3 linked regions of the Bombyx mori genome follow. The protein of the gene in region 1 purifies or fractionates together with the protein of each later gene. This does not show direct contact. Links are inferred from orthologs where the notes say so. Each region holds a gene or a part of one and is shown on either strand. Other genes may lie near its edges.

Region 1 (10,583 bases):
CAGTGCACACTCAATCCGTCAAAACAAGACTAAGTAATTTTTGAACATGATATTTGCTAAACTCATAAATCAAATATTAACTGATCGAAATATAACAATTCATATCGGTTTTCACATTACTGAACTTAGAACTGAAAGTAACATTAAAAATATTTTATTGAATTCCTGTGAACCTTGAATTAATGAAAAAAAAACAACACCGATGACAAACTAATTATCCTGACTGACAATTTAACTCACAATTTGGTCGGTTTAAACTAAAAAAATCAAATTGATATTCAAAAGACATAATATATTTGGATATTGGGATAAGGGTAAGAAAAAGATATTTTTTATGGCCCTTGTAGGCAGAGGAGAGCCCATGGACTTCAGCAATGCCAGGAGCAGAACCAGGCCGCTTTCTACCGTTAAGTTCTCTCCAAATCTATAAATCAAAGAGAGCACTGACCTGGAAAGTGTCTGGAAAAAGGAAGAGAGGCCGCCCCAGAGCAACTTGGCGTTGCTCGGTGGAGCAGGAGCTAGGGGTCTTGGGTATGACGTGGGAAGAGTTAGAACAGACTGCCCAAGACCGTGTAATTTGAATGACATCTGCTGAACTACGGTCAAGATTAGTCCCAAAAGCGAGCTTAAATGCTAATAATATTATGTAAGTTAGTTTTCTTGTGCGGCCATCTCGGCCGGCGCCGCGGGCTCGTTGTTCTTGTTCTTCTTGGAGCCCGACACGATGTCGTCGATCCTCAACAGCAGGATCGCTGTTTCGACGGCTGTTTTGTACACCTGCAGTACGAATTTCATTTTAATGTTATATCTTAATGTTTCATTTTTTAATAGCATAAAAGATTCGTCGTATTCATCGTGTATTCGGAGGCTAATTGTATCAGAGCGCCGCTCATGAAACAAACGAACAAATTAAGGAAGTGTTAGGCAACGGCATGGCATTTGTCATTTTAATAAGGAACGGTGATCACTCGCTCTTAGGAGGTCACCGGTCACCGTTCTCGTCGAACCAGTTGCTTGCGACGAAGGGCTTGACGAGTAAATTAACCCTCAGACACAGCCCACTGAGTTTCTCGCCGGATCTTCTCAGTGGGTCGCGTTTCCGATCCGGCGGTAGATTCTGCGAAGCACGGCTCTTGCTAGGGTTCGCGTTAGCATCGTCGTCAGGTTTGAGCCCCGTGAGCTCACCTACTAGTTAAGGTTACGCTGAAATAGCCTTTCAAGGCTCTCAGGTAGGTAGGTAAAAAAAAAGCTCTTAGGAGATCCGTATAGGCTTCGTCTGCGATAAAAATGGGAGAAAAACCTGGCGACCTATTTGTTATTTTGATATACACTATAGTAATTGTTATGAAGCGTTGGCGTTTTTTGTTTATTGTAAGTCATTATATGTATTCATTTTAGTTATATATTTTGTCTGTCTCATTGAATATGGCGTCTATTGCATACAACTTAAATAATTTTGATCCCTATTGACGTCTTGATGATAAAGCTATTAAGATCTAAAGTTAAGTTTCAATTGTATTGTAAAACGACCGCTTCAGCCTTCAAACTGGTACTCAAAACTGATTCGCGGCAGAAGTAGGCAGAACCGCGGTACCTAGCCGGGAAGGCTACAGTGCATAGATGCAGGATGGTGTGGTCTACGGACCTGCAGTTTAACGGCGAGCGGCTCCCAGATCCCCTTGACGGCCATGTCGACGATCTCGCCGGTCTCGCCGTCGATGCCGGCGGAGGCGAGTCCGGCGGCGTGGCGCGCCCGCAGCGCCGTGAGCGTGCGGATGGTGTTGGCGCCGCAGTTCTGCGCCAGCGTGCGCGGTATTATCTCTGCAACACAATTATACAAATTCGAGAGACTTTTTGGCGGGAACGCGAGTAGTGAAGTTGTGTGATTTGTTTTATTTTGTCTATTTAGTGTTTCTTCAGGTTTAAATGTGTAATAACGGTGGTTTATTAACTGTTTAATATCTGTGAAAGTGCACAAATGTGGGAAAATGTAACAAAGCCGCTGGACATAACTTCTCGGGATCCTCCAAAAAGTCCACTGGAAAAAATGTCAGTAAACGACCATCATTTTACTGAGATTATATTTCATCCCATATCATCTCATCTCATTTCATTTCATTTCATCCCAGTTGATCTCAAATTAATCATCTTAATTTTATTTCATTTCATTTCACTCCATATTATCATTTTTCATACAATTATGAATATAAATTAAAATAAGATATGACTTAAAGGTCTTAGTTACCAAGTCATAAAATCCCTTAAAAAATAAAAATAAAATACAAATTCTAATGGTCAGTTCAAGTTTTATGTGCCAACCGCCTTCAGTGCGAATTTTTTAACGTTCTCGATAGCGTAAAAGTTAACTCATGTTTGTATGAAATCGTTTGCGTACGTTTGCCGCTAGGGGCGCTGTTCCAACTGCATACAAAATTGGGTTAACTTTTACGCCATCGAGAACGTTAAGAAACTCGCACTAAGCACGCGGAACTCTGGCATTACGTAACGTTCTGAGCGCAGTGCAGCCTGCAAGTATTAAAATCTCTAGAGATTCATATTCTAAATATTAAACTTAAATTTTTCCTATTTACTTCTAGTATTGAAAAAAATCAGAATTATTGTTGTGTTCGCATTATCTACAATACAAAAATGTAAATATAATTTTATCATTCACTGATCGTAATGAAGTTCATAAAAATCGGCCATGATATTGGCAGAATATGCGAGGATCAAACTAAGCAGATTGATTAGATCTGTATATGCCAGTTGTTTTGAGGATCTTCCGCCTTTAAAGGTTTGAGTAAGGGTCATGGCACACTATGCAAGCACTGCAACGGCACCGCTTCAGCCCAGTGAATAATAGCTTGTCATTTGAATTTGATCCTTAAATCGTATGTCGTATAATATGTTTCGTAACGTCGGTTGCGATATCGGGACAGTGGTGGGGAAGACCCTAAATCACCTCGTGTATAATCAAATCGTAACCCGATTTTTATTGTTTACCATAAACTCTAAAAATCGCTGGGGCGAGCTCACGACGATTATCCCCACCACTGCCGTCCCGATATCGCCACTGATTTTAGGGTCGTGCGTAGGCCGCTTGAAGCTTCTTTCATAGCGCATACGTTGTTATGGACACGTTCACAGTGTACTGTACTATATATTATTAGCTAAGCATAGGTATACAGCGGGGTGCTAGTACCGAGCGCGGTGGCGACGGCCCTGTAGGGCGTGTTGTGCGCGGCGCGGTGCGACAGCGCGCTGGACACGGCCATCTCCGCGGCGCCGCCCCCCGCCACCAGCCGCGGCGACACCACCTGCACGCACAACATTATATTATAATCAATTTCAATACCATCATTATGTATTTGTACATGATGGATATATCGATATCATAATATGGGCAATTTAATTCTACCACTTCAAAAAATTCTGTAAAAAAAAAGGTAAAATAAACAACCTTTTTAATTATAACTAGCGACCCGCCCTCGCTTCGCTTCGGAAACATTAAATTTTATTATTGATAGGCGAGTCCCGCCATGTTTGGCGCGGTACGACAATAACTGCGGGTGAGGCCGCGGGGCGGAGCTAGTCTAAAAAAAGTAGCCTAAGTTACTCCTTATATCATCAGCTACCTATCCGTGAAAGTCCCGTCAATATCAGTCCAGTCGTTCCAAAGATTAGCCGGAACAGTCAGACAGACAGACAAAAATTGTAAAAAATGTTATTTTGGTATATGTACCGTATATATATTCATATGTATGTAGTAAAAAGAGGCTATTTCAATATTACAAACAGACACTCCAATTTTATTTATATGTATAGATATTAATTCTGCAATAGTAAGAAAATGAATAACAATATTAAACAACTTCATTTTAAGTACACAAAATAATTATATTTACCCTAAGTACTAACTAATAACGTATCTCTAGTATGAGTTCTGTTTAAAATCATTAGGACAGAATGGGCATTTAAAATAATAAATTAACACTTATATTTGTTTTGTATTACATTTTGAAAATCAATCATACTTTTAAATGTGGACATTTATTGGAATTACCAAATGTCTTAGTTCTCTCTTTTTTTAATCATACAATGACTTTATATAATTATATAAAATAAGAAAGATTGTATTTTTTTTAAACCAATGATTTCTTAATCGAATATACGATTCGAAAAAAAAATGCAAATTCATATACAGTAGATAGATAATGTGTCAATACACTTACCAAATTCTTGGCGACGTGTAAAGCGTCTTGAAGATTCCTTTCAATCTCATTCAGGACATCCTTAGAAGCACCACGGAGTAATATTGTGCATGCCTTCAAAATGTATTTTTAGATTATTATTCCATTTTATTTTACTCATTTTCTATATTCATTTTAATAGTTGAGAGGAGAAAATGCATATCGTTAAACTATTATTGTAATACTATGAAATTATTGTTAGGTATACTATTAATCACTCCAGGTCAAGGAGCAAGCGCAAGACAGGGTAAAGTGGAGACAACTTGTGAGAGCCCTATGTACTAGCGGGGTATCCTAGGACAACAACAACAATACTATTAATCAAGGTAATTTACGCTGCACTGTCCTCAGTAGGTCATTGATGCTCTTTTTTATTGTTTAGATAGGTGAACGAGCTCTCGTCTCATGTTAAGGGATTGCAACCCACAGACATCAACATCAATGTTGTCATCGTCCTTTATTATTTAACCAGACAATTTAACACTCACTGTTATCATGTTTGATGCATTAAGAATCGCCAAACATATTAAACACTGTTTAATAGTGAGTTTATTTTAAAAAAAAAGATGAAGTAGTAATAACATCTACTATTTAAGTGTTTGTGTGTTTTTCTTCCATACATTCTTAATGCACTTCTTCAATTGTTTTGAGACTTGGTAGCTGTAGCTGGTACTTCAGGGAATAATTATTTTACAGTACCAAGACATGACAGGTGGTAAGTGAATAGTTTCAAGAAATCTATGTCTTACATACAAGTAATGATAATCACAGCAGAATGTGAGCAGATTAGTGATTTAAATATAATTAATTTAGTACCTTGGGGTTCTTGCATTCAGTGACAAAAGTGAAATATTCATCTCCGATCTTCTTGATCTCAAACAGTCCAGCTCCAGTGCCGACATCGGATTCCTTGAGTTCCTCAGTACGGTTGACAATTGTTGCTCCACACGCCCGCGCTAGACGGTTGTTGTCCGTTTTACGGAGTCTAGAATGATTTTCAATTAATTAAACTGAGAAATAAAACTTTAAAGGTGTCTGCTCAATACTGTAATGGCAAATACAGAACTGAACTCAATAATTCTATCCAATCATATCGAAAATTTAGTTTATTGCTCACAAAGCGGAAATAGTTGATTGAATGTTAAGTGGTTACGAGTGTGTGAGTTTTATGATCTGCATAAACCTCAAACCCTCACTGCACCCTCCACATAGGTCATCTATCAAGTCATAGTCTCAAATGTACCAGAATGTACATGCGTCAAATGTACCAGAATATCTTTATAATCAGAAAGCATGGTGATTTACTGTGTTATAGTTACATTATTGTTACTACATTACATTATTATTACTACATTACATTATTATTACTACATTACATTATTATTAGACATAGTATTATTTATAGTTACAAGACATAATGATAGCATGCTCAAAATAAGAGATACCACTAGTTAGTGTGGTACTTACTACCTCCAAAAATGTGTTAAATTATTACTACCCTTTTATTAAAGCAGCACATCAGTCACAATGAAACAAAACAAAGAAGGCTTTATTCACATATTATACAATGTGAAAATACATACCTGCGGATAGCAGTAATTCCAGCCTTAACAAGGTAATGTTGTGCAAGATCTGAAACTCCCTTTTCGGTAAAGACAATATCTGGTTTAAGTGCAATAATTTCTTCACATTGACGCTGTACATGTTCCTCTTCTAGTTGTAGCAGTTTAGTGAAGTCCTATAATAAATAAAATCATGTTCGTTATGATCAGTCAAATTCTACATTCTAATCTATGTATATATATAAAAATGAATTGCTGTTCGTTAGTATCGCTAAAAGTCGAGAACGGCTGGACCCATTTGGCTAATTTCGATCTTGAATTATTTGTGGAAGTCCAGAGAAGGTTTAAAAGGTATATAAATATGAAAATACTCGGAATTAAATAAAAATAACTATTTTGTTTTTCCTTTGATGTGTCTTCCGTCGGACGGATTCCTTTTGTTTGTTTTAAGTTTATTTTATACAAAAATTTAGGTCTTTTACTTATAGATTGAGGCACTACGAAGTTTGCCGGATCAGCTAGTATTCAATATAATAAGTCTAGAAATCAGGAATTTTCCATAGACACTAACTACCCATTGGCAATTACACAACAAAAATTATTCACTGGGTATTGTGGCAACCACTTTAATGTCAGATCAGAAATTTAAAAAGACACTGCCATATCAACCATTGTTTTTATTCAACATACAAATGTCTTTGTCAGACATTGTAATATTCCATGTCACTTTGATTAATGTAACTTAAACTTCATGTAAAGATGGCCAATATCATAATGCATGTACTCGCAATGGAAGGAATTTCTCAATCTTTTTGTTTTTCGAATTACTCTTCTTTTTTTGGTTTAAATTGGCAAACCTACAACCCATGTCAGCCAATCAAATGTTGGCTAGGTGTTGGTACATGAATTCCACCACAAAGACATGAGGACATAGTCTCATTTGTATTGAATTAATGGGTCCAATTAGTAATTTTAAAGTATAAAACTTGCACAGTATTATTTACCTGTTCACCCATAATCTCAATGTTGGTCTGACTCTCTCCCTTTTTGTATTCAAGTGGGCAATCCAACAGGATAATGCGCGGATTTTCAATATACCTCCTCATCTTTGGATGGGTTACATCCTTGTTGAACATAACACCGCTGAGTACACGAGACTCTTCAACTGTGCCACCTGGGATCTTTTCCACTTTTGCATAACTGTAAATGATTTATTAAAATTGTATTTTGAGACATATGTGGTAAGTTTAAGAAGACAATGATAAAAAAATATATATTGTGTCACATACAAAATACTATCTTCATTTCATTAACTACGCAGATACTTCATTTTGGTCCTTTTTTGTTTCATTTTTTTACACTCTTATATCATAGTACACACTACTTCATCTACTCTCCTTAGCTGATTTTGGCCAAGGTGTCAACTTTAACTCTATTTCTAATTGTCAAGGTATTTTTTTTTTTCTATTTTATCACATCTGGTATTTGTTGTCAAAAATGATTCCTTGATATATCCTTACTTTGTGAACTGTTATATAAACTACAATCAATGGTATACCTTGACCATCACATTGGTGATATATTTAGCAACTGTATCCCAGCCAGAGTCAGTCAGTATATTTATTATAAGCCTTTGATATCAAGTTGTAGCTTTTGTGAAATTATTTTGCTTTTCTGTATAAAAATGTGTAATACTTACTTTTTAATGTCAACCTCAATTCTGCCATTATCATTCACAGTAACAGTATTAACCGCATCAAGAGCAATGTCTACGGCAAGATCTGCCCAACGACCGATGTACTTTGTTCCAACACATGAACGAATCTGTTAATAAATTTTAAATTTATTGCCAAATAATGGATATCAACAATACATATGATGCAATGACATAGTCAAGCACCGGTCTTCAGCTGAGGATTCTCCTCAAATGTCAATTGAATAAGACCATGCTATATCACTCAAAGACTGAAAATAGCCCAATCCATAGTTGCATTTTACATAACATAGTTGTTTGGAAGAATTCTGGTTTGGTGATAGGCAGTGCAGTGGTAAAAATATCATGGGATTGTCCCAAATAATTCCATAAAACACTCCCCAAGGAAAATAAAGTATAAACTATAAAGTATAGAGTACTGTTACCCCTATTTTAGAAAAAACTTTTTTATTTTTTTAATTTTTACAGTCCAATCATTTGTAACACAACTATCAACAAGTTGCAGCATGTAGCAAGCGTATTTCAAGTCAGGGACTGTAATGATTTAATTTTGTTTATATCAACTATTTTACTTACGATTTCAAACTATTTACTTAAAACTATTATTTTACTTACAACTTCTTTCATCTTATCTCTATCATTCAAATCTACAGGCACTGAAATTTTGTCTTGAAGCAGAACTATAGCATCCTCTAAAGCTTGGCGGTATTCTCTGATGATGACTGTTGGATGAATATTCTGTGTCAAGAAAGGTTCTGCAATCGCCAACATTTCTCCTGCTAGCACTATGACTGATGTGGTTCCATCTCCAACCTTCAAATAGATAAGACTCAATTTCATAATTAGATGCAATACAACACAGACACTCAAATAAATAATACTAATATTAGGCATTAACAGATCATGGTACATGATTATCTACAAAAATCATTTTCTAACCTCTTCATCTTGGGTCCTTGCGATTTCGATCATAGATTTTGCAGCTGGATGTTGGACTGTGATTTCCCTGAGTATAGCATTACCATCGTTGGTCATCACGATGCCTCCCATAGGGTCCATTAACATTTTTAACATGGCCTGAGGTCCGAGGCATGTTCTTATAACATCGGCTATGGTCTAAAACAAAAGTAAGTACAGGTTTTTTTCGCGTTTTAAATCAAGTTTATGGTGAAAATTTTTATATTTTCAAGTTTCTTAATTTAAATACCTTTCCTGCACTAATATTTTCAAGCTGAACTTTCCGGCCGGACTCACGTTTTGTATTTTGGCCTGAGAAACGAATATGATGAATTAGAACGTGTTTCTTGATAAATTTATCATATTTAAGTGTTAAGATACTCACTGAGAACTAATATAGGTTGCTGTCCATACATTTTGAAAAAATTAAATGTGTTTTATTATTTAAATTACAAAAACTTCTTCCAGAAAATCGGTGCCCAATGACAAATTTATGAGAGACAAGAAAATCGCGTGTTGATCTTAGTTGCCACACTGAAAAAGAACCATAGATTACATTTCATAAAAAATAAAAAGTTTCTACTTAAGCTTTACTTATTAGATATGAAATAATTAATAATTGGGAATTTAATTGTTTTTATGATCGAACAATCACCAATAGTCATCGAACAAACGATAATTGATCAAAATTGATTTGAGCAATAAAAATAAAGATATCTAATAAAAGGGGCCAACTTAAAGGTGATCATTTGTTTAATTAATTATAAATAAATAAAAGACGAAGAAACAATTTTTACATTCGAACATTAACGAACAAACGACGAGTAAGTTACTAAAAATAAATAAAAACCGAAAATCAAAAAAGAGGAGACAAATTCAGTGAGCCGTATGGAGGGTAGAGGTAAGGAAACCGTCTCTGTTGTGAAAAAGTGTCCGTTAAAATCTGCTAAATAAGGGTGGCGCCATAGTAGCAACCAGGTAAATTTTAAGAAAGGTGTTGAAGTATATTAGAATAAGATAGAGAAATAAAAAAGGACAAAAGAACTGTAAGGTACAAAATCACAAAAAGTATTTTATTTAAAGCTGATAAGAAAATGCAATCGATGTCTCCACGTTTCACCACAGCAAAAATTTTAGGTTATATTGACGAAATTAGTTTGGACTCCGTAAACATGTGAGGTCTTGTATATTACACTGTCGCTAACTACTCTAGTCATTAAATATATTAAATTTCCTAACTCAGCATACTTCAATCAGTTAAAAACCACTCAATTCATATCATACCCTGTGCCTATGCTAAAACCATTCTGGAGGACTTTTGAACTGTTATTTAGTGCTGAAAGTGGGAAACTTTTTCAAGCTTCTCCATATGAGACGGTTCTCCTTACCTCTACCCTCCATAGTACCTAGGTACCGCTTTTAATAATGGATTTCATTTTTTTTTCAACATGGCAATCGTCTTTTTCCGATGTCAGTGCTGCAAATAAAATAAATTACTGTACAATACATTATGCTGAAACTTCAGTGAAGTCTGATCCGGGAACCCACGTTCAACGATATTAAACCCCTCATTCGTAGTAATTCGTACACTTTGACAGATGTAAATATATTAAGTGTATAATCTATGGACAGATGTTAAACGCTTACATAAAAGACTTTTTGGCGGGAACGCGAGGAGTGAAGTTGTGTGATTTGTTTTATTTTGTCTATTTAGTGTTTCTTCAGGTTTAAATGTGTAATAATGGTGGTTTATTAACCGTTTAATATCTGTGAAAGTGCACAAATGTGGGAAAATGAAACAAAGCTGCTGGACGTAACTTTTCGGGTTCCTCCAAAAAGTCCACTGAAAAAATCTCAGTAAATGACCACCATTTTACTGCGATTATATTTCATCCCATATCATTTCGTTTCATTAAATTTCATCCCAGTTGATTAATGTCTCAAATTAATCATCTTCATTTCATTTCACTCCATATTATCATTTTTCATAAAATTAAGAATTTAAAGTAAAATAAGACATGACTTAAAGGTCTTAGTTACCAGGTCATAAAATCTCTTAAAAAAAAAAAAAAGCTTACATAAAAAGTCATCATTACTAAA
Region 2 (11,241 bases), on another chromosome or scaffold:
AGTTTTAATTACTTAAAAATGTTCTTAAAGTTTTTAAACTTATATTATCAAAAGATTAGAACTATTTTTCATATGTTTACTGTACGAGTAATCACTGAAAATACTTTATAAAAATATATTTCACTTTCATCAATGTACTAATTTGATCAATAATGAATAAAGGTTATACCTACCGTCCTTGAACGAAGATAATAAAAATTGCGAGATAATATACTTTCCAAAGTAACTTTTTTGACTGCATTTCAGTTAATTTATTTTGAATTAATTGAAGCGTGACGTGTACAACCATTGAGTGAATTTTGATGATATTTTAAAATAAAACAAGCCACGCCACAGCGCCTTTAGTTGTGTGAGATCTGAATTTAAATACATAAAACATATAATAAAATCTCCGTGCTAACCTGCCTGAGAGACTTTGCTAACATCTACTGTAGCAAGAGTAGTGCTTTATTGAATTTATTGCCGGATCAGAATCGCGACCTACTGATAAGATCCGGTGAGAAACTCAAGGGTTGTGTCTGTGGGTTAATGTATAGTTGTGGTGTCACGGCGGAGCACACGTTCGCATACTGCCCCGCTTTCGCGAAGCAGCGCCGCACCCTCGTTGCAAAAATAGGTCCGGACTATGTGCGGCAGCGACGAGCCCTGGCAGGCGATGCTCGACTTCTGTGAGTCCACCATCATGCAGAAGGAGGCGGCGGAACGGGGAGAGAGAGCTCTTCTTTCCTCTCGGCGCCGGGCCACCGCCACCGAGCCGGGAATTGGAGGAGGGTGTTCGTCCAGCTCCAACCCCTGTGAAGAAGCAGTCTCCTCCCGGTGATGTTCACGGGGCGACCTGAGGTAGTCGAGGTTGCGCCACACGCTATTGTCACTGTAGCGTGCTGGCATGTGACGACGCATCTTCGGAAGCGGTCCGCGATGCGGTCCGCATTGCCGTCGTCGCTGTCGTCGTCGAACATACTGTGGAAGAGCAACCGTATAAGGGGCAGGGGAGTCGTTTAGTGCGGTAGGGTCCTTAAATAATTTTGGACCTACGGTCTGCTTCCAACATCTGCAGATCGTCAAGTCTCATATACCCTGCGTGCCCCCTAGGCGGGGGAACCTCATGGGAGGTTCAGCCCCCGGCCCCAAAAAAAAATTATGTTGTTATGTATGTACGACCGTTCTTGTGATTGATCATTCCCGATCTCGAGATTATATTTCATCCCATATCATCTCATTTCATTTCATTTCACTCCATATAATTATCATTTTTCATAAAAATAAGAATATTATAAATTAATATAAGACATGACCTAAAGATCTTAGTTACCAGGTCATAAAATCCCTTAAAAAAAAGTAAGGCGGTAAGGTCGATTGACGAACGACGATTTTGTTTTTATTTTGAAACCGTGAGCGGAATAATTGTCAATTTGTTATACATAATCACAAATTGTGTTGTGATCTACCTTTATTATGGAAAATTGGTCAATGGAGACACCATCAAGAATAAACGCTGAAAATATACCTCAAACCATAACTCAAAATCCGAGTGAACTTACATTGGGTTCGGCGTGTACAGAAAACGCTTTTCAATATCCAGCATTATTTACAAGCAAAAGCTTTCTTGAATTGTCCACTTGCTCGTGGTCAAGGGGTCGTAATGCTAATGAGAATATACAGCCTTATTTACGTGGATGTAAGTGGTCCCCAGATGGAACCTGTTGCTTAAGTGTTGTCAATAACGATGGTGTTCATGTTACCGAGCTTCCTAGTGAATTGTACCAGGGCGTTGTTTGTGGCGATCGTATAATCGATGTCTTAGAATCAGTGATACATTTAAAAGAAACAGGTTCAGTTTACGACTTCTGTTGGTACCCATTCATGAACAGCACAAATCCCCCTTCCTGTTGGTGAGTGAGATTTAAAACTCAATATTTGGTCTACAATGGAATTGATGTAAATATAAAATATCGTTACTTAAATATCAACCAATCTAAAAATTAAAAAAATGCTCAGTGCCTTATGACAAAGGTGTACAACCAATGTGTTTTACCAGTGATGACGTACGGTTCTGAGATATGGTGTTTCACAAGGGAACTTTTTAAGAAGCTTAGTGTCACACAGCAACCTATAGAGAGGGCTATGTTTGGTATTTCTTTATGAGATCGAATCAGAAATGAGGAGATCCATAGAAGAGCCAAACTTGTTACATAGCCCTAGGATTAGCAAGCTGAAGCGGCAGTGGGAATGCCATATAGTACGAAGATTGACAGCCGATGGGGCAGAAAAATCCTTAAATGGAGACCACGTACTGTCAAGTGCAGTGTGCCGTGTACCAGATGGGCTGATGACATAGTGGACATCAGTAGGAGAGGCCTATGTTCAGCAGTGGACAGGCTGAGATTATGATAAAATATCAATTTTAGTTTGTCAGTAAACATAATTTCTCTTCCTTTAAAATAAGGAGCTGAAATAGATTTCTTAAGAAATGCCTAACTTTCATGTAACTCAATAATTTTATTGACAGCTGGTTAACAACAAAACAAAATTCTCCCATACAAATGTGGGATGCATTTGATGGATCACTCAGATGTTCATACAGAGGATTCAATGCAGTAGATGAAATGGAACCAGCTTTATCAGTTAGCTTTACCTCAGATGGTAGAAAAATCATTGCTGGCTATAAGAAGCATTTAAGAATTTTTGATGTTGAGCGGTAATTCTTCATTATCAAATTTATCTTAAAACTTTAATTTCATGCTCAGTGTGGGTATTTAAGCAAAGCTTAGACTTGCTAATAACTACTTTATATCAAGGCAGGAAGCTTTTATCGTATCTATACTAATATAAAGAGAATTTGTTGTATGGAAGTAAAATCTTTTAATATACTCATTAAGTTAGTAATGTGCTCAAGATAGACAATTTTTTTATTTCTTTGATTGGTATACAACTAGGTTTTAAGTGATTACTAGAGCTCATAGACTTCAACAACATAATTGTTGCAATCCTGCCTGAGTTCTAGGTCTATTTTATTTGCTTGTATATTAATCAGTAAATTTTTTAGGCCTGGCAGAGAATTTACTGAGCAAAAGATTTCTAGTTCAGCATCTAGCATTTCAACACAAAATAACTTAGTTGCTGTTGGTTCTTGGAATACAACAATAACTTTGTATAATGAATCAGAAATTGGTACTAAGAAAATTGGGGACATGTATGGACATGGAGGTAAATAGCACTGAATAATTGGTGTAACGTTTGTTACATATTGTTATATATATACCCAATACCTATATATACCTAATCCAGCCATAAGTTCTGTTTCAAATGAAAATGTTTTTTTTTTAATGAAGTAAAAAGAAATGAAGTCAGCAAAAAATAAAGAAAAATATTCTACTTGAAATGGCCACCTTTGGCTTTTATACAGGCCTTTAATCTGTTTGGCCATGAAACTATGAATTTGCGCACTGTTTCCAAGGGAAATTTCACTGCTTGCTCCAAAGGTTTTTTAAGACTCAATGTCGCTGTATCGCTTAGAGCAGGCCATGTTCTCTAAAACTGACCATAATTTCAAGTCTAATGGTTGAGGTCTGGGCTCGGTGAGGCTGGACTTCAGCTCTTACAAAGTCTGGAACATTGGTTTCAAGCCAGGCTTGGGTAGTTCCTGCCTTGTGACCAGGTGCAGAGACATGCGGGCCAGTCCACAGTATATTTTTAAAAAGTGTATTGCTGAGAGGTTTTACAGCATAATCCAAGACATGGATACATGGACAATGATACACATTGACTGAAGTTTTCACTTTCTTTTTCACAAAAATATAGCTTGTGATTCCTTGATAAGACACGCCCCACCAAACCATCACTGATGCAGGATGATGACCACTTTGTACCTTTCCTACCATTTCAGCAGCTTCTTTAGAACTGTGAGTGTACACTTTATCATTTTGTTTATTGCAGTGTTCTTCAATAGTGAAATTTTTTTCATCAGTAAAGAGAATATTTCTGTGCCTTTCACCTGCATATCGCATCAAAAGGCATTTTCATTTATCCAATCACTTTAATTATAAAGATTGATTTAGGGTATATCCTGCGAGCTTCAGGTCTTGTTTTATAATACGCGACAGAGTCCTATCGGGAATCTTCATTTCTCGCTATAAGATATTTTGCTGCCTAATTCGACGGATTCTGGCTTTAACAGCATTAAGCCTTTGTAGTTGTAACAGGACGCGGCTGCACCGATCTTTTCTGGTCTTCGACAGACGAAGTGTTGTTTTATCTGTTGATAGTTCGATGTACCAACATAATGGCTGATACCTAGCATTTGAAGTGTCTGGAATATGACCGACGGCTCAATACCCACTTTGCGCAAGGCGATCACTGCAATCCTATTTTCCTTAACACCACATTCCTTTGTCATTTGATAATGAACACGAAAAAATATCTGAAATGGCGCAAAATCGAAAGAAGTTTTTAAAATAATATACATGTTCCAAATACAAAATAATTAAAAAGTTGAAAAAAAAGAAAAGTTTTTATGTAACAGTATTTATGGCCAGACTAAGTTATATAATAATATATAGCACAACAAGTATATATTTTTATCAGAAACCTTAAATCCTTTAAGTGCATTCATAATCATTTAGCATATTCATGAATATTCATTTGGCTTTGCGAAATGTTTTGATTTTTTCTATTGCTTCAGGTGGAGTAACGCACATGAAATTCATTCCTGGTACTTTGAAGCTTGTTTCTGGTGCAAGAAAAGATCACAGACTGTTTGTTTGGGACATACGGTATTATAGGAAACCACTAAACATTCTGAGTAGAGTTGTAAATACGAACCAACGAATTTATTTTGATATATCACCTTGTGGAAAATATTTGGTATCGGGTGGTACAGATGGAGTGGTAAAAGTTTGGTCACTTGATCATATAGATTGGCATTCTAGTTTAGATCCAGTTAATAATACAACTGATGATGTTACTTATAAGGTATTATTTTTAATTATATTAATAGCTTGTGTGCTTTATTTTAAAAGCTTTTATTGAAAAAGAGTAATTGAATAAATAGTTTAATTTTGAAGCCTGCATGACATCACAATTGTACAGCTACTGGATGAGATTCTATTTTACTATTTAATGAATATATTGCTTACATGGTAATTAATTTGACGGCTTAAACTCTATTTTTGACTTGACTTTTTCATTTTCAGTTTCCTTTATACAAAGATTGCTGCAATAGCATATCAATTCATCCATATAGACCCATATTGGCTACCGGATCTGGTCAATATCATTTCACAGACCCGATAAAATCTTTGAGTGAGAAAACGAATAATGAAGCCGTAGATTCTAGTTCTGATGATTCTATTAACCAGTATGATATACGATACTCTAGTCACAGTGAAAATTGTTTGACGTTCTGGTGGACTGGGGATGTTATAGAATTAAATAAAAACCTACGTCGTTGTGTTTAAGCAGATGAATCTTTATGTATTTCAATTTATACATTTGTAGTTGATGTTGTGTGAAAAAATGAATGTGATAGATGAGTTTCCACTTTAAAAAAATTTACATGACTTATGTTGACTCTGACCTTCAAGCCTTCTCTTTTCTTATGTTGGCTGGCAATCAAACTGAAAGTGTCAAAAATCTTTGTGATTTTTTTTGGTTCAATAGTATTTATCGAGTAGTCTGATATGTAGATATGAAGAATATTTTTTATATTGTCTACCCTATTTAAATACCCCCTATTTACAAGTATAGTTAAAGTGAAAGGTTTTCAACTATAAAGTTGAAAATAACGAAGTTTGGGGTTCCCGGTCTACTTATTATCATTTAACATTTTACTGGTGATAGGACCTCTTGTGAGTCCGCACGGGTAGGTACCACCACCCTGCCTATTTCTGCCGTGAAGCGGTAATCAGTTTCGGTTTGAAGGGTGGGGCAGCCGTAACTATACTGAGACCTTAGAACTTATATCTCAAGGTGGGTGGCGCATTTACGTTGTAGATGTCTATGGGATCCAGTAACCACTTAACACAAGGTGTGCTGTGAGCTCGTCCACCCATTTGAGCAATAAAAATAAAATAAAACATTCCGTTTATGACCTACATACAATAATTTTATGTTGATAAACACGTTAGTTCGTTACTTAACAGTATCAAACAATCGAATAGTGGACTTTTCCCAAGGCTAATTCGGTTTCCGGCAGTAACAAGTAGATCGATAACATGTCATTGTCGAAAGCAAAGACGATTATGAAAATTTGCGCAAACGTTTATTTTTTAAATCACAACTACCAAAATTTTGTTTAGTTATGATATATGTATGTAAATACTTATAAATTGAGACTAGCCCTTGCATAAAGTCCGCTTAGAAATGTGCGAAAAATTGGCAATCTATTGGCCTATCTCAACCGCAAAACACGTTTTGGATTAAAGGGTAAAATTTAATAACTTTTAGATCTTGTAATGATAAATATTCGAGCAGATTTTGATAAAAATGTTTGGTAAGTTATACGCGGTGTAAAATGTAACTACCCTCGAAGCTGCAACAAAGGTGCTATGCAAATCATTAGCGAAAATCGGGAGACGAAATTGATTTCGGGAATGATTCGCTTCCATTGATAGATGGAAAAATGTGTTGAGAGTGAAATGATCGGACTGAATTTTAAATTTTGACTTTTGAGTCACAATTGCGAATTGCATAAATTTAATTTAAGCCCACGGTATTCCGTTTTCGGGCAAAAATACTTAAACATTCCTTCAAAAATAGAATTTTGTATTGATAAATGTTCGACTGACTTAGAATTATTATCCCATTTTTCTAAAAAAAAGGGCTTAGGAACGGAATGTTCGTGAAAATTGAGTGCCAATTTTAATCTATTGTACTTTTCTATACATATAAGTACTGTTATCACTAATGTTAAGGAAGAAAGAGGGGAGTGACGACAAAAAACGTGTAATGAATTTAAAAGTAATTGTTTTTTGCTGGCACATAGCCGCGACTTAATGTGATCTTTAAAAGTTTATTCTTTTTATTTGCCAACTGATCGTAACAAAACACTTCAAAGATAGTATATGCTTATCAAAATTATCTAAGGCCAATTCGTTCACTCATTGGGGAAACGACTAAGTTGTCCAAAAAAAGGTGCATAGACTAAAAATAAAAATTATCTTTATGATTTTATTTAATAATACGTAGACATAAATAACATATTATCAGTTCTCTTTGTAAAGGATTTTATTTCATAATACGTACTTAGACATAAATAAAATATCAGTTCTCTTTGTAAAGTTTTGTCGACGTCATCCATGGAATATGATAACTCGATCGATTTGCTGACTGTAGTCCTCAGATCCTTGTAAAGCGGCTCAGTTTTATTGCCACGCCGAGACCTTTGGCGTCCGTAAATCTTTATTAAAATGTTTTATGACGATTGCCTTATACGCGTTCAATCAGTTTCGGATTGTTGGGTTCAATCGAAACGTAACTAATACGATATATTACTCAAATATTTAAACGTTTTGTTTGTTTGAAAGCTTATCTATTTGCAACCTCTTTTTCAGGTCTTCGTCTATATATATGTAATAATGATATTATATAGGATAGTATTAAATATGTATTTTTCACGTGATATTAAATATTACATGAAAGTGTCGACGATTACAAGATCCTCGTCGACATGCTTGATGAAATTTGATGGCCCGGTAGGCTTAGTGATTAGTGACCCTGGCGACTGTACTACAGAATTCAGGTTTGATTCCCGATCGGAATCTATCTTTGTAAAATTTATTAGGCATTTTTTGCACATATATTTTTTACATGTATAATACAGGAGAGGACGATATCCGGAGGCCGTTGATGGCCTAGAAAAATAGAAGCTAGTAGAGAGATGATGCATGTGACTAGGAGATGTATGGAAATAGCAATGCAAGGTAGAGGGGGAAGAGGTCGACCGAAGAAGACATGGATGGAGTATGTGAATGACGATATGAGAGACAGAGAGGAGGGAGTGTCAAGATGACGGCTGAGAGAAGAGAATGGAATAGAAAAATTCGCTGTGCCGACCCCACCTAGTGGGATAAGGTGGAGAAAAAGAAGAAGAAGAAGTTGATGGTTTACAAAAAATCATGTAAACTTCAGATCACGGCATCCTGGGTGACTACGATTTTTGTTTGTTTGTTGAGATTATACCAAAGTTAGGGAGAGAGGAAAAATGCGCGAAACCTCAATCGAAACAGACGAGGGGTCTGTTTCGATTGAGTTCTGTGTCAGTCGAGGTTTGGACAAGGCTCGTTGAGCGATAGGGGCTTTTAGTTGGTTCAACTCCGAGACTGCCAACCTATCGTCTAGTTAGAAGCCTAAGGATTTCCTAACGAACCAAAAAAAAAAAAAACGCTCTGAGAATTAAATTATAACTATGTGCTTACGTATTGATATAAGCTTGCGTGTTTAAATAAAAAACAAATATTGAATGTTAACGAAACCTTATTATTGCCATTCCGGTTTTGTGACCACGAATACCGAAAGAACTACTAATTATTCGCACGTTAATTGAAGATGTCGTACAACTGCGTTACTTGACTATATTTTAATTGAAATTGGTTTGAATTCGGAATCGAGGAAGTGACTATTTGATAGGAAAATTCAAGCATTTACTAAAGTGTTAATTATGGTAAATTAAAAGCTTTTCATTAAAAACTATTTATTTAACTATGTAGGTATGATATGCCTACTATATCTAAATTTTTCTGGTAGCTTTTTATTCTTATCGCGTATAGTAAAACGATATCTTTTTTAATCGATTTCAAAAAAGGAGGATGTTCTCAATTCGACGTTTTTTTTTGTTAGATACCTCATAAATTTTGACTGAGTGAATCGATTTTGATCACTCTTTTTTTATTAGAAAGCTGACGCTTCCCGTGTGGTCACATTTCAATTTAGTCCAGTTCTGATAATGGTGGTAGATGCATAACTCAATATCACGTCAACCGATTTCGATGATTATTGGTTTTTAGTGTATATATTTTTTTGGAATATCTTTTTTTTTCTATTTGATGTTGGGTTTTGTTATGTCTATTTACAATTAATTAGCATGTCTATTTACATTTATTCCAGACGGTGCTTAACAATTAAGAACCTAATGTGCAATAAAACAAGGGCACGTATGTGATATGCGTTCACGAATTTCAAAGAATATTGAAAGGTGACTTTTTGTCTTTTGATTTAAAATTTTCTACAATATAGGTTCTCTTAAGCCTTTCCCGGGTATGGTTAAAAATACGGGTATGGGATCTCGCAAACTTATATTTTTCTTCTATTTAAGTGTCCCAAAAATATCTACCTCGCGTAGACAATGTTTGACCGTTGGCACGTATGAAGATTTGACACTTTGAGTTCAAGGTGGGTCATGGGATTCGTACTGCAGTTACTGCGGGATTTGGTAGGTATTTGCTTAACACATGACACATACAAAATTAAGTAATCTTCGTCGATCTTAAAATATTTTCACGGGTGTCTATTGTGAATAAGTTCATGTTATATTCGAACATAGGTATAATAGTTGTATAATGGACTGACAGAAATAGAACTGAGACTGAAGAAGTACGAAAAATTCAGTAGCATTGAAATACCAAAAAATCTAAGAAAAAAGTAGGACTGACTGGGATCCGAAAGTGACAAAAAAACGAATGACACTTTTTACAAGTCAGCGGCTGCGAGGGTAATCCCAGTCGGCATTAATCTGGCTTACACGAGAGAAATTTGCAATTTTGTTTCCTGCCCTTTATTATCTAGCCGACCGACAAACGTCACTTCTTTGTGGATTATTGTTTGTGGACTGCGACGGATCATTTATTCTGTTAACATAATTGGCGCGTTGCCTAGGCCACGAGGGCCATAAGTTTGGGGTTTTCATTGCCTTAGAACGAAAAGGGGACAATTACTTGATAGGGAGTGGTCGGCGTCACTCACCAGCAATGCCAGGGTTACAGCTAAGCCGCTGCTCTCCGCTGAGGACTCTGGGGAGTGTAATGTGGAAATAATAGACAGTAACAACTGCAAATAGCACACGATAGTCATAGTATGGGTTCGTTCAGGTTGATTTATATTTCGTGCGTGAAAATTTGATCACAAAATGTAATGTTTTTTCAAAGTTGATATAATTAGTACACGGCGGTAGTAGGGCGGATATACTTAATACATGATTTTAAATCGTAAATTCAAAGCAATCCACGTGATTTTGGCAAATCTTTTACCCTGTTTTGGGTAAAGTTCGATTATGGTTTCTAATTAAACTACGAATCCTATAATATTATATTTACATAGAAGTCATATATAAGTGATTTTAATAGACTGTATTTTAAGTTTACCAATTTAATAATATAGTTCTTTTATATAAATATCCTTAGAAACTACGTATGTATGTTAATGCGAAGTGTAATTCTAGTCATTGTAGTTGTATTAATGTGATCTCTGAATAAATATTTGATATTGTGAACGTGAGATTTTCCTTTCAACAATGATTCAATTTCCGAATACATACCTACCTGGTCCTGTGGACTGAATGGTAAAAAGTCGCAGTCGCCCAAAACACGCCATTTAGGATCCTCCTGATCCACTATCGGTGCTTTTAGGTACCTCAGGGTGTCGAGGATGTATAATGGGTATGTCAAGCCGAAATCGAACTATAGTTTCAAAAATGCAGATCACGTTAAAAACGTCTAAGCCGTACTTAGTTTCATACAAAAACTAATATTTTAATTGTTTCAACTGGTTGATGATAACCCTGGAATTGTACAACAAAAATGCCATTAATCCGTTAATTTGGTTAAACGCGTTAGAAATAGATAGATAACAGCAGATTCGTTCAATTGATTTTAATCAATGAAAACGACAAAAAATGCTATCATATGACTAGACGCTTAAGGTTCAAAATCGCAAACCAAAATTCCAAACGCATTACGGCCATTACATATTACTAAATTTCATTTTCATTGCAAAGACAAAGAAGTTATTTGATGTGCCGAAACAGTCGGAGCGGTTAGAGGCACAGGCGAAGCCCCTTCTGGTCATAGCTGGAATACTCATAGGCTACCGTTGCCAGCGAATAAAAAAAAGCCGGTGAAGTGTTTATGTGTGTGTATATTAATCAGCTGACATAACGTGATTTTTGAATTCAGAGAAACCGCCCGTTTAGACCTGTTTCTACAAGAGAAAATCGCCGGATCCCCACCCGCGCGGCAGGTGGTATGTGGG
Region 3 (11,174 bases), on another chromosome or scaffold:
GACATCATTATGATGAAATTAAACATGCAGAAGTTGAAACCTAATAAGTATGATTGTGTAATTAATATGATTAATTATTTTATTAGTTTTATTTCCTCTCTAGTATAACTTAACTCAGTAGCCTTTAAGTTAAAAACATTTATCGTAAAACATAAATAATAATAAATACATTCTCTTACAGCCTGTCGGCACCATGTCAAGGCCTATCACGCACTCGAGAAATTACCAATATCGAACAAATTACGAAAAGCCCTGGCATTTACTTTAATCCCTCGGGATCTGTTAGGATAATTAGTGATTATTTACATGTATTAGTACCAATGGACATAGACTACATTAAACCCCATATAGATAACATTCAGACGGTTTTGCATTCAGCCAGATACTTCTGTACTAAAAACAATGTGGTTGACGACCTAGAGTGCGAGAATATGTTCATGCCCCTTTTATCTATGTTCAATGATATCTCAAGGGACTACCACGCCATTTCTCATCTTATCCAAAGTAAATCAAAGAGGTCTGCGTGGATTTCCGGCATCGGCACTATTCTTAAACATATAATAGGCACCATGGATGAGAATGATGCTATAAGGTATAATAAAGCCATTCAAATACTTAAAGATAATAATAGAAAAACTCTAGATTTGATAAAAGAAAATATCCTTATCTCCAAGTCGGCAATTATAACACTCAACGAATCCATAATTGAAATCAACACTAATGAACATAAATTAAACAAAATGATTGAAAACCTATCTTCCAGTATTAAAAACCTAACAAAGGCAAGTAATGCCTTGTTGTTTAAATCTACAATACATGACATGATAAATGTTATTCAATCAAATATGTTAAACTTGTCCTATAAACTAGAAGACATCATAAACTCAATTTTGTTTTCAAAAACCAATACGCTACATCCATCAGTCATAACACCCAAAGATTTGTATTATGACCTTGTTAACAATGTTAAATATCTACCTAGATATTCGGAATTAGCTGTAAGTTTAGAATTAGAAAACATATATGTACTTATAAATCTCTCGGAAATTATTACATGTATTTTAGAAAATAAGCTTATATTTAGTCTTAAAATTCCTCTAGTACTCATTGATACTTATACTTTGTATAAGACAGTACCTATACCAGTACCCCATAATGTAACATCCAAATCTTTTGCACTAATACTACCTACATGTTCTTATGTGGCCTTAAATCAGAGAAAATCGAAGTATCTTAAACTCGATAATCTTTCTAAATGTAAATCTATTAATAAGGAAACTCATATTTGTAAACAATTAGATGAAATAGATATACAAGACTACCCCATCTGTGAAACAGAAATAATGACAAAAGTCTTGAAATCACTTCCGAAACAGTGTAAAACTAAATTTTTATACGGCCATGCCAACATATGGCAATCCTTAAATAATAATAGATGGGTCTTCACACTATCTGAACCCACTAAACTCAACATTGAGTGCACAGACGAAACTACCGAATATATAGTTTCAGGAACAGGCATATTATCCCTGAAACCAAACTGCACTGGATTCTGCAAAAACATAAAATTAATAAGTAAAAGTTATCCTGAATATAAATTCAGTCACATACACTCAGAATTCAATTTAGTAAACGATACATGTTGTAACCCAGCAGTGTTTGAAAATTATAATTATACCGAATCTATTACAGGACTGCATAACTTAGAATCGAATAATTTAGACCAAATAATCAACAAAGCTGATAACATGCTACAAACCTTAAAACATTTAAAATCTCAGAACGAATCTATTTCGATAAGCACTCCCCATTCCATTGTCACATACTTATTTGTAATACTATTTGTTATTTTTATATGTTATTATTTTTGTCATAGAAAGTGCGTGGCTTTTGTGCGTAAATCTAAACCAAACGAAAACACGACGCAAATAAACACACCCCCACAAGAAAATATTCAACTAAATACCCAACCGCGAATAAGAATCCATTAAACTTTATATTAAAATAATCATCGAAAACTTCGGAAAGCCGTAAGTTTTCGCTTAAAGGGGGAGCTGTTATAATATTAACTAGTATATTAATTAATTTACCTAAGACCGAAAAGTGCCTCTAGCAGCACTTTCCGGCCTAACATATACTAGAGCCCCGTTGGCTCGATGTCAGTCACTCTGCGTCGTTACTATGAGCCACACTCTTTCTAAGTAGAATTTTGTATCTTCAAAGTGAATAAAATCTTTTTTAAAAAGAGTTTTTCAAAGTCCCGTATAACAGAGCGCATTCCATTACGCTAACCCGACCTTACGAATTCAGCGCATGAACGCCATTACTTCGGTTAAGGACGAGTCACGCTTTCTTTGTTACCACACTGGCCACTGCATTAGGGACCAGTTACATAATAGTTTACCAGCGTAATAAATAATAATAATAATAATATAGCATCCATTATGGATTTGGTTCGGATAGCATTTGCTGATTTCCGAACTTGGAATGATATTAATGATACAATAGACTTAACTTTGTATACCTAAGTGGCCGACATTCTAAACCCGTAGAATACGGATAACGGATACAGAACTATCCGTTACTTTAACAATTCCTGAAATTTGATCAGCATCGATGGAAGGTGTAATTAACTCACGTGGATCATTATGGGACAAAGCAGTCATAATATGTTATATTTTAACTGTTTTGTTTCTTTATTTTAAAATTTAGTTTTAGTTTATTACAGATTTAGGCTATAAAAAATTAATTGGGGCCTTCGTTTTCATTTTTGAAGATTGTTATCATGTAATCACGTTCCGTTTTCTATTGCATCTGGTTTCTAGTTACCACGAAATGGGGAACACACAACTCAGGCGAGCAGACAGACGCTCTTCGAAACGTCATGGCATTCGAACAAAGCGCCTAATAAAAAGTTTTACATTGCCAGTGTACTTTATTGCTATTAATTAAATTCGGGCACTTTAAGTATCTATAATAATCTTTAACATAGTTATGAGTTAAAAAGTTATACAAACTAATAAGTCTGTCCTTAATTTTTAATTAAGAAACTGAGACTGCCCAGGTATCTAGGCAATAAAAAAATATTATACACAATAATAGAAAACGTAAGAAATTTAGAACCTTTTTACCTACGATATCAGATCAGGAATATGGAAATTCGCAGGAAAACCGTAATAACTGACATAGCCGAAGGAATTGTGAGATTGAAGTGGGCAGAGCATTGCTCGTAGAACAGATGGCCACTATGGCTGAAACGCTTTCGAGTGGCGACTGTGTAAAGATGTAGCTTGGGTGGAGCTCCCACAAGGCAGACCAGCTACCTGTTAAATATAGCGGGAATCCGCCGAATGCAGACAGTGTAGGACCGGTCGTTGTGTCGAGGCTTTGGGGGGGCCTTTGTTCAACAGTGGACATCTGTGGATATTGTCGTTTATTTAACTTTCTATACATAGCCTGGTTTTACTACTCATTCAGTTTCGAATAGGTAGCTTACTCATTATTGAATTTTTACCAGGCATATGTCTTCAAATCCAATTTCGTCTTATTGCAGCCAATTTAATTTATTTTTAAATTATTTCATTTTCATTCATAAAATAATTTTCATTACACTTTTTTAACAACTAACAGAGATTCGACATATACTAAAGTAGGGACCCGCCCTTGCTTCAGAAACTGTAATTGATTATTGATTTCTCCACTATTTAATGGATGTTATTATACATATAAACCTTCCTCTTCAATCTCTATCTATTAAAAAAAGCGCATCAAAATCCGTTGCGTAGTTTTAAAGATTTAAGTATACATAGGGATATAGGGACAGAGAAAGCGACTTTGTTTTATACTATGTAGTGATGAGGTTTACTCGCAGATGCTAAATTCCCGTTGCCTAGTCAAAAAACGAAACGAAAAAAAATTAAAATGTCAGATTGTCCTACTTGCCAGTTGTCAAATTTTGTAAAAATAATGCTTCATGCTTGTTTTCTCCACACAAAACTAAGTTTTTAGTTAATTTCCAATTATAAAATACATTAATTGAAGGTACAGAAGCTCATGGACAGTTCAATATTTAAATAGGTATATTTAAATCAAACATAACAAAGCCGCTTGGTGGCCATTCTGTGATATTACGGCAAAGGTACATAAAATATATATTTTTTGTAAATTTAAAACCATATGTAAAAATCTAAAAAATATAACTTGAAAGGTATGAAAACTTACGTACTTGAAAGACAAAAAAAATAAAAAAGTCACTATTCATTAAAATTTCATATAAATATCATTTTGATTTGTGTTTTCAGAAACATTAAACATTATCAGTGATGTCGATGCCACACAGCAGTTCGAGTACCAGTTCAGGCACGAAACGTAAAGAAATATACAAGTAAGTAACGTTACAACACAATATGAACTATAAATAACAGATTGGAAATAATTGACAGTATAAAATACAGAGTTGACCCAATTTTGAGATTGCTAATTATAATTAGGTATAGCGTGTTATTTATTTCTGTACCCATTCCTATGTTTCGAAACATTTGTAATACAATCAAGCAGGCATTATGGGACTTACTAATTTAATGCTTTAGATGTTTTGAAATATACAGATAATCCTTTCACAATTCCCGAAAAGAACTAAAGTGATGTTAACAAATTGCAAAAACAGCCTTATCTTGATAATTACGTACGAAATTTGAGTTGTTCATACAGTTAGGTTAAATTCTCATAAACGAAGTTGTGATAAAAAAAAAACACTATAAGCTAGACAGCTGCATTTCTATGTCACACATCTTTTACAGATACCAAGCGCCATGGCCATTATACTCAATGAATTGGTCTGTCAGACCTGACAAGAGATTCAGGTTAGCCCTGGGCAGTTTTGTTGAGGAATACAACAATAAAGTAAGCTTTTACAGAGCAGTTATTATATTAATTTAGTAATTTACAAAACATACCAACAGGATTAAGTAAATACAGTATAAAGGCCCAGATAATGAATCATGCAAAGCTAATGCAATTTTAGGGAAGTCAATTTGTCAAAAATTTCCCACTCATTGAATTATAAAAGATAGAGGTGTGTGCCTTATAATCTATAAATGCATAATATTACCAAAGAAAATACACAATAAATTACATATTTTTGTTGTTGTTCATTTTTCAGTAGTTGACAGAATTGGTAGGAGCACTTAGTTTGTGGAGGCTGTTCTTATAGACCAAGTAGACAAATACAGCAAGAAAAAAAAAATTCTAAGTAATTATTGGTGCATAATATTACTTACTTAATTCCACCATTAAATTAGTAAAAACTCAACTACATACTACTAATTAGTTAATTGTTTAGCATAATATACAAACATATAGTAAGTAAACCAGGAGTTCCCAAGATATATAACCCACTTAGACACACAATAACTTGACCGCAAAGGTTTTAATTGGTGAGTATGTTGTATGAATAGGAAAAGAACTAGGGATAGGGTTTTTTAAATAATTTGGGTATGGGGTTTTGAGGTATCAGTTCATTTTAAAAAGGGGTCTGCCAAAAATTGTTTTATATTACCTAATATAAATGAATTTATTAGTTTTCACTACATTGAAGGATTTTTAGTGAAAACTAATATATTAATGGTTTCATTTAACACACATACTGTATTGTAGCATTCCTTGTGCATGACATAAGCTTAATAAAACTCTTAAATCCTAGGTACAAATAATTTCCCTTGATGAAGACACAAGTGAGTTCACTGCAAAAAGTACCTTTGATCACCCGTACCCGACCACCAAGATTATGTGGATACCTGATAGCAAGGGGGTGTATCCAGACTTGTTGGCAACTAGCGGTAAGACTTCGGTAGCAGTTTGTTAGCACTAAGATTACCATATTTAATATGGAGATAATGAGGCTTGAATTTACTTTTACACTGCTACATAGACAAAAACATATACTCCCAAAAATAATGCTTACAATATCATCTCTCTCTAGAGAAACAGTATTCATGATAGTCTTTGAGCTCCATAAACCACTGAATTGTACTTAACTGAGCCTGTCTATCTCCTTTGTCGTCATATCACTCTTGTCAGAGCGGTTGTGGTCGTCATTCAGCATCATTGCTGAGGGCAGATGTTATGCGCCTCACAAGCAATCGCTACTCCTCCCGGTTTGTGGTGAGCCTGGTACACTCATGCAAACAATAATAATCAATCTACATAAATAAAAATAAGTGATACCCTATGAGTACAATATGAATGATTGTGATGTTAATAGAGGCAACTTTCGTTGACATAAACAGTTTTGATAAATAATCAAATTCAAGTAAAACTATTCAATAAAATTTCACAATGGTGCCTTATGTTGCAGGTGATTATCTACGCATATGGCGTGCCGGAGAGCCGTACACATTATTCGAATGTGTCCTAAATAATAATAAGAATTCTGACTTCTGTGCTCCTCTTACATCCTTTGATTGGAACGAAGTGGATCCTAACCTCATTGGCACCAGTAGTATTGACACGACCTGCACCATCTGGGGCTTGGAGACTGGACAGGTCTTGGGCAGGGTCAATGAAGTGTCTGGGCACGTGAAGACTCAGTTGATCGCTCATGATAAGGTTTGTGATTTTTATTTAATAGAAGATCTTGTTAATTCATTTGTGTCCAAAATTTATGTTAATGATTATCTGAAGATTATTGGTGTCTTCAAAAAATTTTCGTTCTGCGAATCTAGTATAACCCCTCGAGGTTACAAGAATATGTTGAAAAAAAAATTTTTTCAAATCAATGTATTCAAATATGTTTAAATCACTTATTACAATTTTGACATGATACATATTTATCAAACTAAAGAATTGCAGGATTGAAATGGGCATGTTACATACGTGCCCGATTTCATAATGATCACATAACATTTTAAGTTTTAATGTAATCATAAGCATGTAGTGTGAAGTATATTCAAGGATGCTCACAACAGATACTAATAGAATTTTATTCTATTGGAGATTCCATTAAAAATCTATTAGCATACACAAAACTGGTGGTAGGACCTCTTGTGAGTCCGCACGGGTAGGTACCACCACCCTGTCTATTTCTGCCGTGAAGCAATAATGCGTTTCGGTTTGAAGGGTGGGACAGCCGTTGTAACTATACTGAGACCTTAGAACTCATATCTCTAGGTGGGTGGCGTTATTTACGTTGTAGATGTCTATGAACTCCGGTAACCTCTTAACACCAGGTGGGCCGTGAGCTGGTCCACCCATCTAAGCATTAAATAAATAATAATAAACAAAGCCGAACGTATACGCCCCTATCTGGTTTTATACACCTTGACATAATACAAGATGCACTCTGCGTGTACATCTTGCTAGACACTGTAAAGTGATGGTTACTTGAACAATAATTTGTCCTTGTCTAACTCGCCTTAGAGAAAGGTGGCTGAACAAAACTTTATATACATGTGGGGGTATACGAAAAAAAGGTTCGACGGTCCGAATGTGGTCGTTCGGAACCTGCATATAGGCAAGCTTATTAAGCTATAGCAAGCTTGAAAATGTCGTAAGCGAGATTCGGGCATCAGTCAAATATCTTGTGTCGTGTGATGGCTACCCGCCACATGCAACTTCTCGCGTACGGCAGCCCTAATGCCGGTGTTTGTGCGCAGGAAGTGTACGACATAGCGTTCAGTAGGGCCGGCGGGGGGCGAGATATGTTCGCTTCCGTGGGCGCCGACGGATCCGTCCGGATGTTCGACCTCAGGCATCTAGAACATTCCACCATCATTTATGAGGTAAGTACAGGAGGCAGTAAGCAGCGTCTTTCGGCGCTCGTGCATGGGCGCATACTATCATTATTTGGACATGTCTCCCGGCGAGTAAATGACTCCATAAAGCGCCTTATCGTTCAGGGCAAAGTAGAAGACACCAGACCGCGTGGAAAGTTGCACATGCGATAAACTGACCAGGTCAAGTCAGCTATTGGCGGCTGTTTGCCTGAGTGTACCAGGCTCACCACAAACCGGGAAGAGTGGCGATTCCTCGTGAGGCGCATAACATCTGCCCACAGCAATAATGCTGAATAACGACCACGATCGCTCTAACAAGAGTGATACGACAAAGATAAAGATTCAAGAGGCCTGCGGCACGAATGACTAACACAATGAAGGAATGCCGCGTTAAGTCCGAGTTAGTTGACCATGTACTGTGGTAGTAAGACGTCTTGTGAATGTGCACGGATAGGTACCACCACCCTACCTATTCTTGTTGTACTGTGAAAAGTGAGGCCTTAGAACTCATGTCTCAAGGTGGGTGGTGGTATTAACTTTGTACACATCTATGGATTCCGGTTACCCCTTTAGCACTACGAGGGCCGTAAACAGCAAAGTAGAATCGGCAAAATTGCGGAATTTTCACTGTAGGTAGTAAGATCGATATCACAGATCTGCAGTATCGGGCTGCAAAACAGTCGTCTGTGAGGACCCGTGCAGTTTGCCTGTGAGCGCCACGAACTGGTCTGATCGTGTTTATGTTGAGAAGCTGCTGTCAACATAACAAGTCTTATGGCAGACTGTAATGTAACACGCAGGACCCTCAGCACACCCCGCTGCTCCGCCTGGCCTGGAACAAGCAGGACCCGAACTACCTGGCCACCATCGCCATGGACGCGTGCGAGGTGATCATACTGGACGTGCGCGTGCCCTGCACCCCGGTGGCCAGGCTCAACAACCACAGGGCGTGCGTCAACGGCATCGCCTGGGCGCCGCACAGGTTCGTAGGCCAGGTAGTAAAGTAGGAGCATCAAGGTTGCTAAACAAGCCCATCCGATATCTCCTCCTCTGGGACTGTGTTCCTCAGCGCATTATACGCAAAAGATAATTTGCGTAATGACTGGTGGTAGGACCTCTTGTGAGTCCGCACGGGTAAATACCACCGCCATGCCTATTTCTGCCGTGAAGCAGTAATACGTTTCGGTTTGAAGGGTGGGGCAGCTGTTGTAAGATAATGTAATACTGAGACCTTAGAACTCGTATCTCAAGGTGGGTGGCGTATTACGTTGTAGATGTCTATGGACTCCAGTAACCACTTAACAACCGGGTGGGGTGTGAGCTCGTCCACGCACCTAAGCAATAAAAAAAACAATGTTCTTGTCGTCAAGTTCTTAGAACTCTTCAAACTAGACTGTGCAGCCGAAAACACCAACTTTTGTTCTAATTCAGTCCGTAAGGTATGCTCCTTGTATTGTGAACGGACCACAATAATATAAATAATAGTTTAAAAAAAACAAAAGAAACGCTTTTATAGAAAATCCAACTAAAAAATAGAAAACAAATTTTAATAAATTTGTTTTTGTTGTGTTTGTAAATGTGTTTTTTAAAATAAAATCATTTTTTTTACACTATTTTTAATTCAAATTTATTACAATTTATTTTATATTTTTTAGTTGGATTTTCTATAAAAACGTGTTTTTTTTTATAACTTTTTTTTAAACTATTTTTATTTTTCATTTTTTAGTTGAATTTAAAAAATTAAATTTTTTTTTTTAATATTAAAATGTCATCGATCCTTAATAAGTATGCCAAATTTCGAGTTAAACCGACGTTTTGAAGGGGGTCAAAATCACGTTCAAAGATTCCGATACAAACTAACATACATACGTCTCATAAAGCTTATTAATAAATAATAATTACAAAATTTTAACCCTCAGACACAGCCCACTGAGTTACTCGCCGGATCTTCTCAGTGGGTCGCGTTTCCGATCCGGTGGTAGATTCTGCGAAGCACGGCTCTTGCTAGGGTTCGTGTTAGCAACGTCGTCAGGTTTGAGCCCCGTGAGCTCACCTACTAGTTAAAGTTACGCTGAAATAGCCTCTCAAAGCTCTCAGCATAGGTAGAAAAAAAACAATTAGAATAGTATGAATTCTTTTGTGTTATTTCGGTTCGTTTTAAAGTGAAATTTTTAATTCAGTTCTTGTCACATCTGCACCGCCGGAGACGACCACCAGGCCCTCATCTGGGACATACAGCAGATGCCGCGCGCCATAGAGGACCCGATCCTCGCCTACACCGCCGCCGAGGGAGAGGTCAACCAGATCCAGTGGGGCGCCACACAACCCGACTGGATCGCCATCTGCTACAACCGGCACGCCGAGATACTGCGCGTCTGAATATATCCTGATTGTACAATCCGGTGTGCAGTCGTGTGGACTGTAACCCCTGAAGCCGGCGTGTAGTTTGACGGTAGACGACAGTCGGTTAAACAATATACATATAGTCCTTAGAATCGGACGGTCGCAACAGATGATCCTTCGAGCTTGATTGTTGGAACGGGTATTTTAGTTGCAACATTTCAATTATTTTATAACTAAGAATTCTAGAAATAGTTCCTGTTTTTATTCAACTTTAATTAATTGTGCTCCTTGTGCGTTTTAAGGTTGAGAGAAATTTAGCAATTAAACAAAAATTAAAGGAATTTAAATAACACACTGAATACAAAACCTTGAATACAAAAAAATTATTGGTGAACGTTGACAAACTTGTATGATTTAAATTGAATGAATGATATTATAATAATTTCAAAATTTCCACAAACATTTCTCGAACAGAGTCCCCCTAACTCGAAGGTGCATTCTTTACACTAATCTATTATTTATAAATGGTAATAAAAGTAAACGTGTCGTGCTCGCGGCTGACAATATCTTGTCAATCGCCAAGATAATGTTGAGCTTGACTCCGATACTTAGGTATACACATTGCACTAGACCCCGCACACAACTTCATTACATACAGATGACTTTTTGGCGGGAACGCGAGGAGTGAAATTGTGTGATTTGTTTTGTTTTGTCTTTTTAGTGTTTCTTCAGATTTAAAATGTGTAATAACTGCGGTTTGTTAACCGTTAAATATTTGTGAAAGTGCACAAATATAGGAAAATGAAGAAATTCAAATTTATTCAGATTGCAGTACGAGCGAGATGATCGTTATACAATACAACTGATACAACTGATACTTCGACTTCGTGGTTTAGGACGGGTGACGCTAATCACGACGTGATGTCTATGGGCTTTTATTGCCTTTGTAGGCAGACGAGCATACGGCCCACCTGATGGTAAGTCCTTACCGTCACTCATTGACGTCAGCAATGCCAGGGGCAGAGCCAAGCCGCTGCCTACCGTTAAGTACTCTCCACA

What was found.
Region 2: the proteins of T-complex protein 1 subunit gamma (region 1) and telomerase Cajal body protein 1 homolog purify together in Homo sapiens (co-immunoprecipitation; 3 studies listed by BioGRID and IntAct, with this or other methods). This does not show direct contact. The link is inferred for Bombyx mori from reciprocal best matches to the Homo sapiens genes CCT3 and WRAP53.
Region 3: the proteins of T-complex protein 1 subunit gamma (region 1) and DDB1- and CUL4-associated factor 7 purify together in Homo sapiens (affinity purification with mass spectrometry; 4 studies listed by BioGRID and IntAct, counting the BioPlex papers as one, with this or other methods). This does not show direct contact. The link is inferred for Bombyx mori from reciprocal best matches to the Homo sapiens genes CCT3 and DCAF7.

What each region holds. Positions count from the first base shown.
Region 1 is NC_085127.1:10,946,562-10,957,144, forward strand, and holds the start of T-complex protein 1 subunit gamma, read right to left. Parts: upstream 9,018-10,583; 5' UTR 8,900-9,017; coding exon 8,869-8,899; exon of another isoform or gene 8,868-8,868; intron 8,796-8,867; coding exon 8,734-8,795; intron 8,643-8,733; coding exon 8,466-8,642; intron 8,340-8,465; coding exon 8,142-8,339; intron 7,637-8,141; coding exon 7,512-7,636; intron 7,013-7,511; coding exon 6,817-7,012; intron 5,989-6,816; coding exon 5,834-5,988; intron 5,236-5,833; coding exon 5,067-5,235; intron 4,326-5,066; coding exon 4,233-4,325; intron 3,318-4,232; coding exon 3,203-3,317; intron 1,822-3,202; coding exon 1,646-1,821; intron 778-1,645; coding exon 652-777; 3' UTR 1-651. UniProt on the Homo sapiens protein: Component of the chaperonin-containing T-complex (TRiC), a molecular chaperone complex that assists the folding of actin, tubulin and other proteins upon ATP hydrolysis.
Region 2 is NC_085124.1:10,450,259-10,461,499, forward strand, and holds telomerase Cajal body protein 1 homolog, read left to right. Parts: upstream 1-1,318; 5' UTR 1,319-1,455; coding exon 1,456-1,892; intron 1,893-2,509; coding exon 2,510-2,698; intron 2,699-3,046; coding exon 3,047-3,207; intron 3,208-4,681; coding exon 4,682-4,971; intron 4,972-5,192; coding exon 5,193-5,456; 3' UTR 5,457-10,483; downstream 10,484-11,241. UniProt on the Homo sapiens protein: RNA chaperone that plays a key role in telomere maintenance and RNA localization to Cajal bodies. Specifically recognizes and binds the Cajal body box (CAB box) present in both small Cajal body RNAs (scaRNAs) and telomerase RNA template component (TERC).
Region 3 is NC_085118.1:1,106,078-1,117,251, reverse strand, and holds the start of DDB1- and CUL4-associated factor 7, read left to right. Parts: upstream 1-3,907; 5' UTR 3,908-4,138; intron 4,139-4,301; 5' UTR 4,302-4,322; coding exon 4,323-4,384; intron 4,385-4,799; coding exon 4,800-4,902; intron 4,903-5,701; coding exon 5,702-5,837; intron 5,838-6,355; coding exon 6,356-6,606; intron 6,607-7,652; coding exon 7,653-7,778; intron 7,779-8,572; coding exon 8,573-8,754; intron 8,755-9,952; coding exon 9,953-10,151; 3' UTR 10,152-11,174. Other genes in the region: uncharacterized protein LOC134199889, read left to right, coding at 1-44. UniProt on the Homo sapiens protein: Involved in craniofacial development. Acts upstream of the EDN1 pathway and is required for formation of the upper jaw equivalent, the palatoquadrate. The activity required for EDN1 pathway function differs between the first and second arches.